Oryctolagus cuniculus: one gene and its partners. The protein of the gene in region 1 purifies or fractionates together with the protein of each later gene. This does not show direct contact. Links are inferred from orthologs where the notes say so. Each region holds a gene or a part of one and is shown in the gene's direction. Other genes may lie near its edges. The genes, in order: PNKP, LIG3 and XRCC4.

Region 1 (4,141 bases):
CAGAGGGCGAGTGGGGCACTGAGGGCCCGGCCCCCTGAGGTCGGCCCCACCCGGAGCTGCAGGCCCAGGTCACAGCGGGGACCCCGCCTGCCCCAGGCTGTAGGGGCCCAGGCAGGGTCCACCAGCTGTGACGTGGGTCCCATCTGGGGCCAGGAGCTGCGGGGGCACCAGGCCTGCATGGGAGCGTGGAGTGACAGCTGATGGCCTGTCCGCGACCTCACATCAGCCCCATTGTCAGAGCGGGGGGCTCACTGGCTCACCGGCTCACCGCAGCCTGCCCAGATCTTCAGATCTGAGGCCCTGTGCCGGAGTGAGGGCTGCGGGACGTGGGGCAGGGCCAGGGACGGAGCAGGCGGTGAGCACCCTCACCCGTCGCCCTGTCCGCAGCCCTCCTCGCCGGACCTGGACCGCATCGCGGCGAGCATGCGCGCGCTCGTGCTGCGGGAGGCCGACGACACCCAGGTGTTCGGGGACCTGCCGCGGCCGCGGCTCAACACCAGCGACTTCCAGAAGCTGAAGCGGAAATACTGAGGCCCGGGAGGGGCCGCCGGGTCCCGCGTCCGCCCCGCCCCGCACGACGCCCCTGGCCCGCCCCCGGAGCTCGCCAATGCCGGCGCGGCCTGGGGCCCGCCCCCCACGTGTCCGCGGCTGGGGCTGCGCGTCCCTGCCAGCCCCGCCCCTCGCCCCGCCCCGCCCGCCGGCGTCTCCCGATTGGGTCGGTCGGTCCTGCCCAGCGACGGCTCCTGCTGCGATTGGTTGACCCCGGCGGGGGCGTGGCTAGCTCCCGGCCGGGGCGGCCGGGTTCGGGCGGAAGCAAAGGGCTCTCCCCGCGGAGCGGCTCCGGCCCCGGGGCGCGGCCCAGCCCTGGTGTCCAGACTCGGTCTGCAGCCATCCCGCGTTCACACTACTGAGGCTCGGGCTGGTTTAGCCCGCCTCGCCCACGTCCTGACACGGCTGCTCGGCCCTGTCCCCGGCCCCTCCAACAGCCTGCCAGGCGCACCAGCCCCCGCCCCTCCCGCCCACAGGTGCCTTAATGGGCCCTCGTCCACCCACGTGGGGAGAGGGGGCCTCACTCTCCGGCCCTGCTGCGGGGGGAGAGGGGGGTGGGAGCCGGGAATGGGAAGGGCGCTCTGAGATTAAAAGTTTTACTTCTGACGTGAGCGTGACGTGTGCTGTGCATTCAGCTTAGACGCTCCTGGGCCGGACGCGCAGAGCGAGGCTGGGAGTTGGAATCACTCCCAGCTCCACGGGCCAGGAACGGGGCACTCGTGGGCAGGGGAGGGCTCCGGCCCCGTGGACCAGAGTCGGGCAGTCGGGCCGGTGGCACTGTCCCCACGTTATGGCCGGGTGGGACACTCGTGGGCAGGGGAGGGCTCCGGCCCCGTGGACCAGAGTTGGGCAGTCGGGCCGGTGGCACTGCCCCCACGTTATGGCCGGGTGGGGCACTCGTGGGCAGGGGAGGGCTCCGGCCCCGTGGAGCAGAGTCGGGCCGGTGGCCGGGGAATCTCGGTTTCCCATCAGGTCGCGACCAGAGGAACGCCAGCAATAGGATTTTCTGCCGCTTGTATATTTCCGTGTGAACTCTTGATATTCGCGTAGCAATCCCTCTGCGGCGTCGGGTGTGAAGCAATAGACCGACCTAGGTAGGGGCGGCCCCTCGGACTGACTCCACCACAGGCGCCGGGAATTCGAGAGGAGTTCGCACGGGTCACCGACGCCCCCTAGGGGCCGAACCTGACACTGCAGCGAGAGCGAGCGGGGGGCGGGGCCGGAGCTCCGCCCCCTCGGCGCGCCCAGTCACTTCCGTCCGCCGGGACCCGAGAGGCGGCGGCGAGGGCAGGGCGCCTCGGGCGGGCCCGCCTTGGCTTGAAGCGACGCCGGAGTCCGGGCAGCCGGCGCGGGTGAGCGTGTGCGGGCGAGGCGGCGGCGCGCGAAGCTCTGAGCCCAGCCCCGAGGAATCGGGGACTCGGGCCGGCGGGGAGCCGGAGCCGGCGTCGTCGCCAGGGAAACGGCACGAGCCCGAGGCCGCGAGGGGGTGGGACTTCCTGGCGGACGGGCTGGGAAGAGGCGGGACTTCCTGTGGAACTGGGGCGCCCGCCGTTCAGACCCGTTCCCCTTTAGTCTGCACGCGCGATGGCCGAGACGGAGCAGCCCCGGGGCCGCCTGTGGCTGCAAAGCCCCCCGGGAGGGGCGGCCCCCATCTTCCTGCCCTCGGACGGGCAGCCCCTGGTCCTAGGCCGGGGGCCACTGACGCAGGTTACGGACCGGAAGTGCTCGAGAACCCAAGGTGGGCGGGGCCCGGGCCGGGGGTGTGGCCTGCCCGGAAGCAGGAACCGCTTCCTAGCAGGCGCTGGGCCCGGCGAGGCCGAGGGGGGCGGGTGCCCTCTGGGAAGCAGAGGAGTGGGTGGCTGAGCCTGAACTGGGGCCAGCCAGACCCCGCGGAGAGAAGCGCCCCGATTCCAGAGAGAAAGCGCCCGTGTGGTCGGCGGTCCTGTCTTGAAGTAAACCGCCTCCCGGCCCCGCGCCCCAGTACCGGGAAACCAGTCACACGGGGGCCGCACCCTGACCTCACTCCCCCACCCGCAGTGGAGCTGGTCGCGGACCTGGAGACCCGGACCGTGGCGGTGAAACAGGTGCGAGCGCGGCCTGGGGGTCGGGTCTAGCCAGAGAGCACCGCCTTCGGGGACACGCCCCTAGGGATCTGATTGGCTGAGGAAGAGCGTGGCCAGCCCCTGGAGAGTGGCTGAGGGGGGAAGGGGCGTGGCCAGTGCAGCCTCCCCTGCTGCGGTAGGGCAGCCTCCTGTAACCTCTCAAAGCCCTGATTGGTGGGTGCAGTGAGGAGGTGGGGCTTGTAAGTCCCGTCCCTGGGTGTTTGATTGGAGGTTGGTGCTGGGGGGCGGGGCCAGCCGCAGTTCCTTCCCCTTTCTCTGCAGCTGGGAATTAACCCCTCAACTGCTGGCACTCAGGAACTGAAGCAGGGTTTGGAGGGCTCGCTGGGGGTTGGGGATACGCTGTATTTGGTCAATGGCCTGCACCCGCTGACCCTGCGCTGGGAGGAGACCGACTCACCAGGATCCCGGCCAGCTACTCCACCCGGCACCCCTCCAGAGCCCCCAGAGGAGGAGCCGCCGGAGAAGCGGAGGCGGAGGTCGGCTCCAGGCTGGGCGCACCTGGACAAGCTGCTGGTGTTCACCGCGCCCGGCGTGCAGCCCCGCGCCAAGGTGAGGCCCAGGCCCGGCTTTGCTCGGCCTCCAGCGCTCGGAGCTGGACCCGGGGTCAGCGCGGCGCGTGCCCACCCCGCAGTCACCCCCCGAAGCTTAGCTCCCGCTGTGTCTAAGTGCAGACCGGGCAGAGCTCGGGTACCTTAACCCCCGTCTTAGAGGTTGGGGTACCGGGGGCAGCCACGAGAGACAGGAAGGACTTGGGGTTCTCCCAGGGCGCTCGGATGGGCGGTGGGGTCACCGGGCTGCTGCTGTCCCCCTGGCGTCCCCAGGTGGCTGGCTTTGATCTGGACGGGACCCTCATCACCACCCGCTCCGGGAAGGTCTTTCCCACTGGCCCCAGTGACTGGAGGTGAGCACGGGGGAGGGAGCGAGGGGGCCCGGAGCCACCTCCGGCCCCGGGTCAGCAGGGCTTCCCGCCTGCCCTAGGCTCCTGTACCCGGAGATTCCGCGGAGGCTACGGGAGCTCGTTGCGGATGGCTACAAGGTGCGTGTGCCTGGGCTGTGGGCCGGGCAGGGCCAGAGCCGCGCGCCCGCTGACGGCCCCCTGCTCCCCAGCTGGTGATCTTCACCAACCAGATGGGCATCGGGCGCGGGAAGCTGCGGGCAGAGGAGTTCAAGGCCAAGGTGGAGGCCGTGCTGGAGAAGCTGGGGGCCCCCTTCCAGGTACGGCCGGGGCGCCTGGCTGGCAAGGCGGAGGGCGGCTTCCAGGGGCGCGGGGAGCAGCGGCGTGACGTCCCATGCCGACCCCACCCCAGGTGCTGGTGGCCACGCACGCGGGCTTGTACCGGAAGCCGGTGAGCGGTATGTGGGACTACCTGCAGGAGCAGGTGAGCAGCCCCGCCCTGGCCCCCGCGCGCTGGAGGCCTGCTCGCCGCCCCGGCCGCGCCTTCTCTCCCCAGCTGCCACATCCTAGGCGC
Region 2 (3,646 bases), on another chromosome or scaffold:
TGAGAGACAGGTGTTTGGTCTAGCCAAGACAGCAGGGTGGGAGTGCCTGGACATGATAACCAGCTCTGGGTCCTGCTGATGGAGACCCTGGGAACCAGCTGTGGTGACTTAAGTGATTGGATTCCTGCTGCCCACATGGAAGACCTCAGCTGAGTTCCTAGTTGCTTGCTTTGGCTCCCAGCCTAGCCCAGAGTCAATGCAGGCATTTGAAGAATAAACCAGTGGATGCTTGCTCACTCTCTTCCCCCCTCAAATAAATAAATTAAGATTTAAAAAAAAAAGAAAAAACAAAAAATCGGGGCAAGCATTGTGGTGCAGTGGATTAGGCTGCTGCCAGTAACACCAGCATCCCATGTGAGTGAGTACCAGTTCCAATCCAGCTCCCTGCTAATGCACCTGGGAAAGCAGTGCAGATGGCCCAGTGCTGGGGCCCCTGCCACCCACTTAGGAGACCCCAGTGAAGCTCCTGGCTCTGACCTGGCCCAGTCATGGCTGTTACGGCCATCCAGGAAATGAACCAGTGGATGGAAAATCTCTCTTTTTTCTCCTTTCCTCCCTCCCTGTGTGAGTGTGTGTGGATGTCTCCCTCTCTTTATCTGTAACTCTGCCTTTCAAATAAATAGGTATTTAAAAAAATAAAATAAAAAACAAACTTTGAGGTTTGGAGCAATTACTTGAGCTCCATGTCTCCACCTGTAAGGTGAGTGTAATGGTGTGCACCGCACAGGCACTTAGGCGATCCAGGAAAGCTGCATGGAAAGCACGAGCAGACCGCCTCTTCGTGTCCTCCCTTCTCAGGATGGCAGAGAGAATGATGTCTGTTGTTTCTTTCTCCACAGCTAAGCCCAACAACTCTGGGCAGAACCCACCCTCAAGCCCTGCCCCTACAACAAGTTTGTCCTCAAGCAAATGTGACCCCAAACACAAGGATTGTCTGCTGCGGGAATTTCGCAAGCTGTGTGCCATGGTGGCCGATAACCCGAGCTACAACACAAAGACCCAGATCATCCAGAACTTCCTGCGGAAAGGCTCAACAGGAGGTGGGCCACGAGCATCCTGAGTGGGCTCGTCCTCTGCAGAGCTCCAGGCCATGGCCGGCTCCTGGGCATGCGAACTGTCGCACAGACTCCCTGTGTGGTTTAGTGCTCCACTGGTGTAGTCTTGCAGTTAGTAATTCTGAACAAGGGGCTCGTGTTTACATTTGGCACCAGGCCCCACAGTGATGTAGCCAGAGTGCTCAGAGTGCTCAGAGTGCTTGGGCACCTTTCTTCCTTTGCCCTTATTCCACCCTAAGGAGGCCAGAAGAACAACCCATCCTATTGGACCCAAAGGAGGGGCCGGCGCTGTGGCATAGTAGGCTGAGCCTCTGCCTGTGAAAATTCCATAACTTGCGCGTTGGGTTAGATTTATGTGAGCATGTGACAGCTTGGAATGCAGCCTTCAACTCTGCCTTGTTCATTCATAAACATTGTCACACTGAGCATCTGAAACCTACTTGTCACTCAGGATGTGAAGTGCAGGTCCTGGCTCTGCCCCGCAGGAGTTCATCCACGGGCGAAAGGTGAGGCAGACACAGGAGCCACTGAACTTTGTGGCCCCTCCTGCCATAGAGATAGGCACAGGGCACCATGGGAGCAGGGAGCAATAGATAGACAGGCGATAGACAGACAGACAGACAGGTGGGTCTCTGCTTCCTGGAGTTTTTGTATTCATTTAAGCTGCATTTCTCAAGTAGGGTTCCTTTCTTCTGTCTCCAGATGGTTTCCGCGGTGATACGTACCTAACAGTGAAGCTCCTGTTGCCGGGGGTCATTAAGAGTGTTTACAACTTGAATGACAAGCAGATTGTGAAGCTCTTCAGCCGCATTTTTAACTGCAACCCAGACGATATGGCGCGGGACCTAGAGCAGGTCAGAGGAAGGGAGAATAGGCCCTGTTCTAGGTGGGGTTCTGCCAGGCCAGGCACTGCAGCCACTTTTTTTCTGGGTGGGGCACTTCCTGTGTTAAGAAACTGAAACCATTATGGGAGGGGCTGAATGTGAGGCTACAGCTGTTCACTTCATGAGCTCCCAAGGACTAAAACTATGCTACTGCTGAGCCACAGACGGCAAAGACTTTCAAAAGTCAGGATCTGAGCTTTCCCTGTTCTCACCTGGGATTCTCATTCTGGACTTGCCCCTATAACTTTGGCCTTGCCATTCAGCTTTGGTTTGTTTGTAATGCCAGCGGGTACCGTAGAAAGTTTCCATCCAAGTGCCCCCCTATCTGATAACTAATATCTGTCTGTTAGTTGTTAACAGATCTTAGAGCAGGAATCAAATTGGCTCAGCCCTGGATTAGTTCCTGTGTCTATTCTTGTCAGCCAAAGCAGGTGGGCAGGTCCTGTGTGATAGCTGTGCCCCTTCTAGGAGCAGTGGCTGGGCCAGAGTCTCTAAGTTAGGTAAATATGAGGGGGCTTCAAAAGGTTAGTTGGAAAAGGGAAATTACTGGATAATGTGATTTTCTATGCACTTTTTGAAGCTCCCACATGCACCGAGTTGAGGACAGGAACTGTGATTGAAATCTCGACTCATTTTAGTCCTAAGGTCTTGGGGGACACACTTGGCCACCCTGGGGTTGTAGCAGTGGCATTTTGGTTTTTGGAGACAGGGTGACGTGTCAGAGACAATCAGAGTCTTCTTTGAGCAGAGCAAGTCTTTCCCCCCAGCTGCCAAGAGCCTCCTTACCATCCAGGAAGTGGATGAATTCCTCCTGCGGCTCTCCAAGCTCACCAAAGAAGATGAACAGCAGCAGGCCCTACAGGACATCGCCTCCAGGTGGGGGAGTTGCCCTATCAAGCCACACTTGGTGGGGATGGGCTCCGGGAGCTGGATCACTTGGGAGTTTCGGTTTGGAGCATCCAGAGCTCTTCAGAGGTCGTGTTGAATGTGCTTCCTCTCCTTAGGTGCACAGCCAATGACCTTAAGTGCATCATCAGGCTGATCAAACATGATCTGAAGATGAACTCGGGTGCAAAGCATGTGTAAGTGCCAGTTCCTGCGACAGCCTAAGCTGTCAGCTTTCTTTGTCCCCAGCTGGTGTCAGATCTTTGGAGTCTTGATCTGGAATCCTGTCCCATTTTTCTTCCTGCAGGGTAACGATTCTTTCTCTACCTCCATTTTCTTATATGTAAAGAAGAGCTAACAATACCTTCATCACAGAGTTGTTAAAATTGAGTATGGAATGTACTAAGTGTAGTTGGCCCAACCCAGGCCCCTCCACTGCTGAGCTGGCATCCACATAGTCACAGGGTCACTAAAGACAACCTTCCAAGAGTGTTTCCCCCTTCCTATAAAAGTTTTTGGACAAGAAAGCACAACGTCTCCCCTCTAGATTGGGCTTTCCTGTCTGTGAGGACAGGTTGCTCCCCAAAGCCATCAGGTCAAAGGCAGTGGTTTTGTTTCCTTGCTCCTGTCCCCACTGGCAGGTTAGATGCCCTCGACCCCAATGCCTATGAAGCCTTCAAAGCCTCGCGCAACCTGCAGGACGTGGTGGAGCGGGTCCTGCGCAATGAGCAGGAGGTGGAGAAGGAGCCAGGCTGCAAACGGGCTCTGAGCGTCCAGGCCTCTCTGATGACGCCTGTGCAGCCCATGCTGGTGAGGAGCACG
Region 3 (2,823 bases), on another chromosome or scaffold:
TCATCATCTAAATATACTTGATATTTGTAAATTGTGGTTCATTTTTCTTTTATTCTGCCCTTATACAGTTTATGAAAAACTAGGAGGTTCTGTTTTGTGGAACTTCACAAGCACTTTCATGTACATCCCCTCCTTTAATCTTCAGACCACTTCAGAGGCAGATACTATCTCAGCAGAGACAACGGGAGTCTGTTAGGTTGAATGACTCGCCTAACATCACTTAGCTAGGAAGACGTAGACTTGGATTTGGGGCAAGTGTTGTGGTGTTGAGTTAAGCTGCCACTTCTGGTGTGTACATCAGGGTGCCTGGGTTTCTGTCCCACCTCTGCCTCTTCTACAGTTTCCTGCTAATGTGCACCCTGGGAGGCAGCAGACGATGGCTCCAGTGCTTGGGTCCTTCCTACCCGTCTGGGAGACCCAGATGGAGTTCCTGGTTCCTGGCTTCACCCCGTCCACCCCCCAGTATTTCAGGCATTTTGGGAGTGAGACAGTATATAGAAGATTCTCTCTCTCTCTCTCTCTCTCTCTCTTTCTTTCTCTTCCCCCCCTTCCTCCCTCCTCCCAGTTCAAACAAATAAATAGACATTTAAAATAAATAAAATGAAATCAATGAAAAAATGTATTTGGAAAAAAGAAATAGACCTGCATTCAGAACTGTGCACATCAGCTTCAAGTCGATGACCCTGCAGGTGTTCCGAGCCACTGTGACTCCCCCTCTGCCTTTGAAGTTGGACTCAGCCTAATCATACTTCCTTCTGCAGCCACCTCCAATCACTATCATCAAGCACATTTCGTGAAGGTTCCCTGGAAAACCAGGGGCAAAGCGTAGCACAAGGATGTAAACATGTATCCCGAAGTTTTCCTTGTGACTGAGCCGTTGCACCCCAGCTCCGTCTGCCCTGTACCAGTCAACAGCGATCATGGCCATGAACAAACCCGTTATCCCAGCACTGAGAACACTCCCATAAATATAGAAATCAGTCCACTGAAGTACTCAACTGTGGTACCGAACTGGATAAAATTTCAATTGCTAAACAAGATGTGCATATTCAGTGAACGAATGTGGACCTACAGCATTTCGTCAGCAGTCACCATCAAGGTGAACAATCACTGTTAGTCATCCACACGCGACCCACTGACCGCTAAAGGAAAGTCCAGTGATCAGAACTTTGTGCTGCGCAGGGACAGAAATGCATGTTCACGGGCAGCATCTAAGGAAGCCGGAGGAAAATGAATGTTGTGATGGAATTGTTAAAGGGAGGGCTTGGGGAACCTGTATCTTGGTATAACAGTGAATATAGAACAGAGGATGAGATATTTCCTTTCTTGACCTTGATCATGACTGTTGCAGGCCCTTGATTTTTTTATTTTAGCTGAGAATAGAGACAGATGCATTCTAAAGCAAAGAAATTGAATTCCTTTCATCCTTCTTTGCTTGTAGCTAACAACATACCAGTTCTGAAACAGGCTGTAACATGATCCACTTAGGTACATCCGCATTTTCTTTTGTGCTACAGTGGAATTATTTTTTTTCAAATAAAACTCTCCTGGCTTTCTTTTCACTCTAGGCTCGATCCTTCACTCCCTGAGACACTGCAGAAGGAGCGCGTCTCCGCTGAGCACTTGTCTTTAGAGACGCTGAGAAACAGCAGTCCGGAAGACCTCTTTGACGAGATTTAACAGTCTTGAGGAAGTACTTGGATGGCCACTAGATTGCGTTTTCTATTCATTTCTTTAAAATGAAACAGCGGAATTGCAGCCGAGCAGTAGCCATTACTGCAACCTTACGATTTAATTACATACACACGGGGTTGAAGCCGTTGTACAAAATGGATTACACGTGTATATGAAGATGTGATTTGATGACAGTGTTACGTTCTTCTAAACTATTCGTGCAGCATGCCTTTAATTACATAAAATCTTAAACTTTGTTTCAGAGGACACATTTATTGTTTTCATTCATACATATTGTGTGTGGTACATGTCTCACACCCTGTCCAGGGGGATTTTCAAAAAGTAACAAAGAAATCTTTTAAATGTTTGTAGTTCTTTTTGAAAAGTTATATTCTGAACAGTTAATTATATTTGAGCATTTTCATTTGTTGGATGATATATAAAATATATTTTTAGTTTGTATGTAAACAATCTGAAAATCTAATAATAAAATTTTTGGTGCTTTGAAAGTTCTGTGTTCTTGATAAAATGTATTATTTAGCAAAAATTTTTCTTCCAAATGTGTTTATTTTTTATTTTTATTTAATAAATATAAATTTCCAAAGTACAACTTTTGGATTATGGTGGCTTTTCCTCCCATAACCTCCCTCCCCCACCCCCTGCAACCATCCCATCTCCCACTCCCTCTCCCATCCCAGAATGTGTTTAATAATGTGCTTTTTTGTTAGAAACATTTTTCCAGGATTGTTGATAAATGTTTACCTTATATGCATAGAGAGACTCTCCCTGAAGACAAGGCCTTTTCGTATTTACTTATCCATCCCAAATAACACTGGCACTGTTTCTGTGTGCATCCATGATTGTACTCGCCACCTCTCCTGCTGTCTCCACTCCCTCCACACTATGGAAGGCTACAGCACTGAAGTTGACAGTGGCTGGCAGGTTGCTGAATCCAGAGGTTGGCTCATTACCACCCTCATCCTCCTGAGAGCCTCGGTGGGTCACTTCTTCCCAGTGGGCCTGCTCTTCCTTCCTCGAACACCGGGTATTCTCCGTAGGCCTCTTTTCAGTCTCTCATCTCTTGGACTTCTTAGCTGATTCTGTCCCCCTTGCCCAACAGCTAAAGCTTGAGGCCTGGGCTCAGTCTTG

The links.
Region 2: the proteins of PNKP (region 1) and LIG3 purify together in Homo sapiens (co-immunoprecipitation; 5 studies listed by BioGRID and IntAct, with this or other methods). This does not show direct contact. The link is inferred for Oryctolagus cuniculus from reciprocal best matches to the Homo sapiens genes PNKP and LIG3.
Region 3: the proteins of PNKP (region 1) and XRCC4 purify together in Homo sapiens (co-immunoprecipitation; 5 studies listed by BioGRID and IntAct, counting the BioPlex papers as one, with this or other methods). This does not show direct contact. The link is inferred for Oryctolagus cuniculus from reciprocal best matches to the Homo sapiens genes PNKP and XRCC4.

What each region holds. Positions count from the first base shown.
Region 1 is NC_091449.1:7,700,892-7,705,032, forward strand, and holds the start of PNKP (bifunctional polynucleotide phosphatase/kinase), read left to right. Parts: upstream 1-1,301; 5' UTR 1,302-1,901; intron 1,902-2,121; 5' UTR 2,122-2,133; coding exon 2,134-2,287; intron 2,288-2,363; exon of another isoform or gene 2,364-2,500; coding exon of another isoform or gene 2,501-2,501; intron 2,502-2,586; coding exon 2,587-2,633; intron 2,634-2,906; coding exon 2,907-3,221; intron 3,222-3,493; coding exon 3,494-3,573; intron 3,574-3,650; coding exon 3,651-3,708; intron 3,709-3,779; coding exon 3,780-3,887; intron 3,888-3,979; coding exon 3,980-4,051; intron 4,052-4,141. Other genes in the region: AKT1S1 (proline-rich AKT1 substrate 1), read left to right, coding at 388-531. UniProt on the Homo sapiens protein: Plays a key role in the repair of DNA damage, functioning as part of both the non-homologous end-joining (NHEJ) and base excision repair (BER) pathways.
Region 2 is NC_091448.1:39,287,966-39,291,611, reverse strand, and holds part of LIG3 (DNA ligase 3), read left to right. Parts: intron 1-839; coding exon 840-1,040; intron 1,041-1,757; coding exon 1,758-1,909; intron 1,910-2,648; coding exon 2,649-2,815; intron 2,816-2,943; coding exon 2,944-3,021; intron 3,022-3,465; coding exon 3,466-3,634; intron 3,635-3,646. UniProt on the Homo sapiens protein: Isoform 3 functions as a heterodimer with DNA-repair protein XRCC1 in the nucleus and can correct defective DNA strand-break repair and sister chromatid exchange following treatment with ionizing radiation and alkylating agents.
Region 3 is NC_091445.1:6,524,856-6,527,678, forward strand, and holds the end of XRCC4 (DNA repair protein XRCC4), read left to right. Parts: intron 1-1,568; coding exon 1,569-1,680; 3' UTR 1,681-2,284; downstream 2,285-2,823.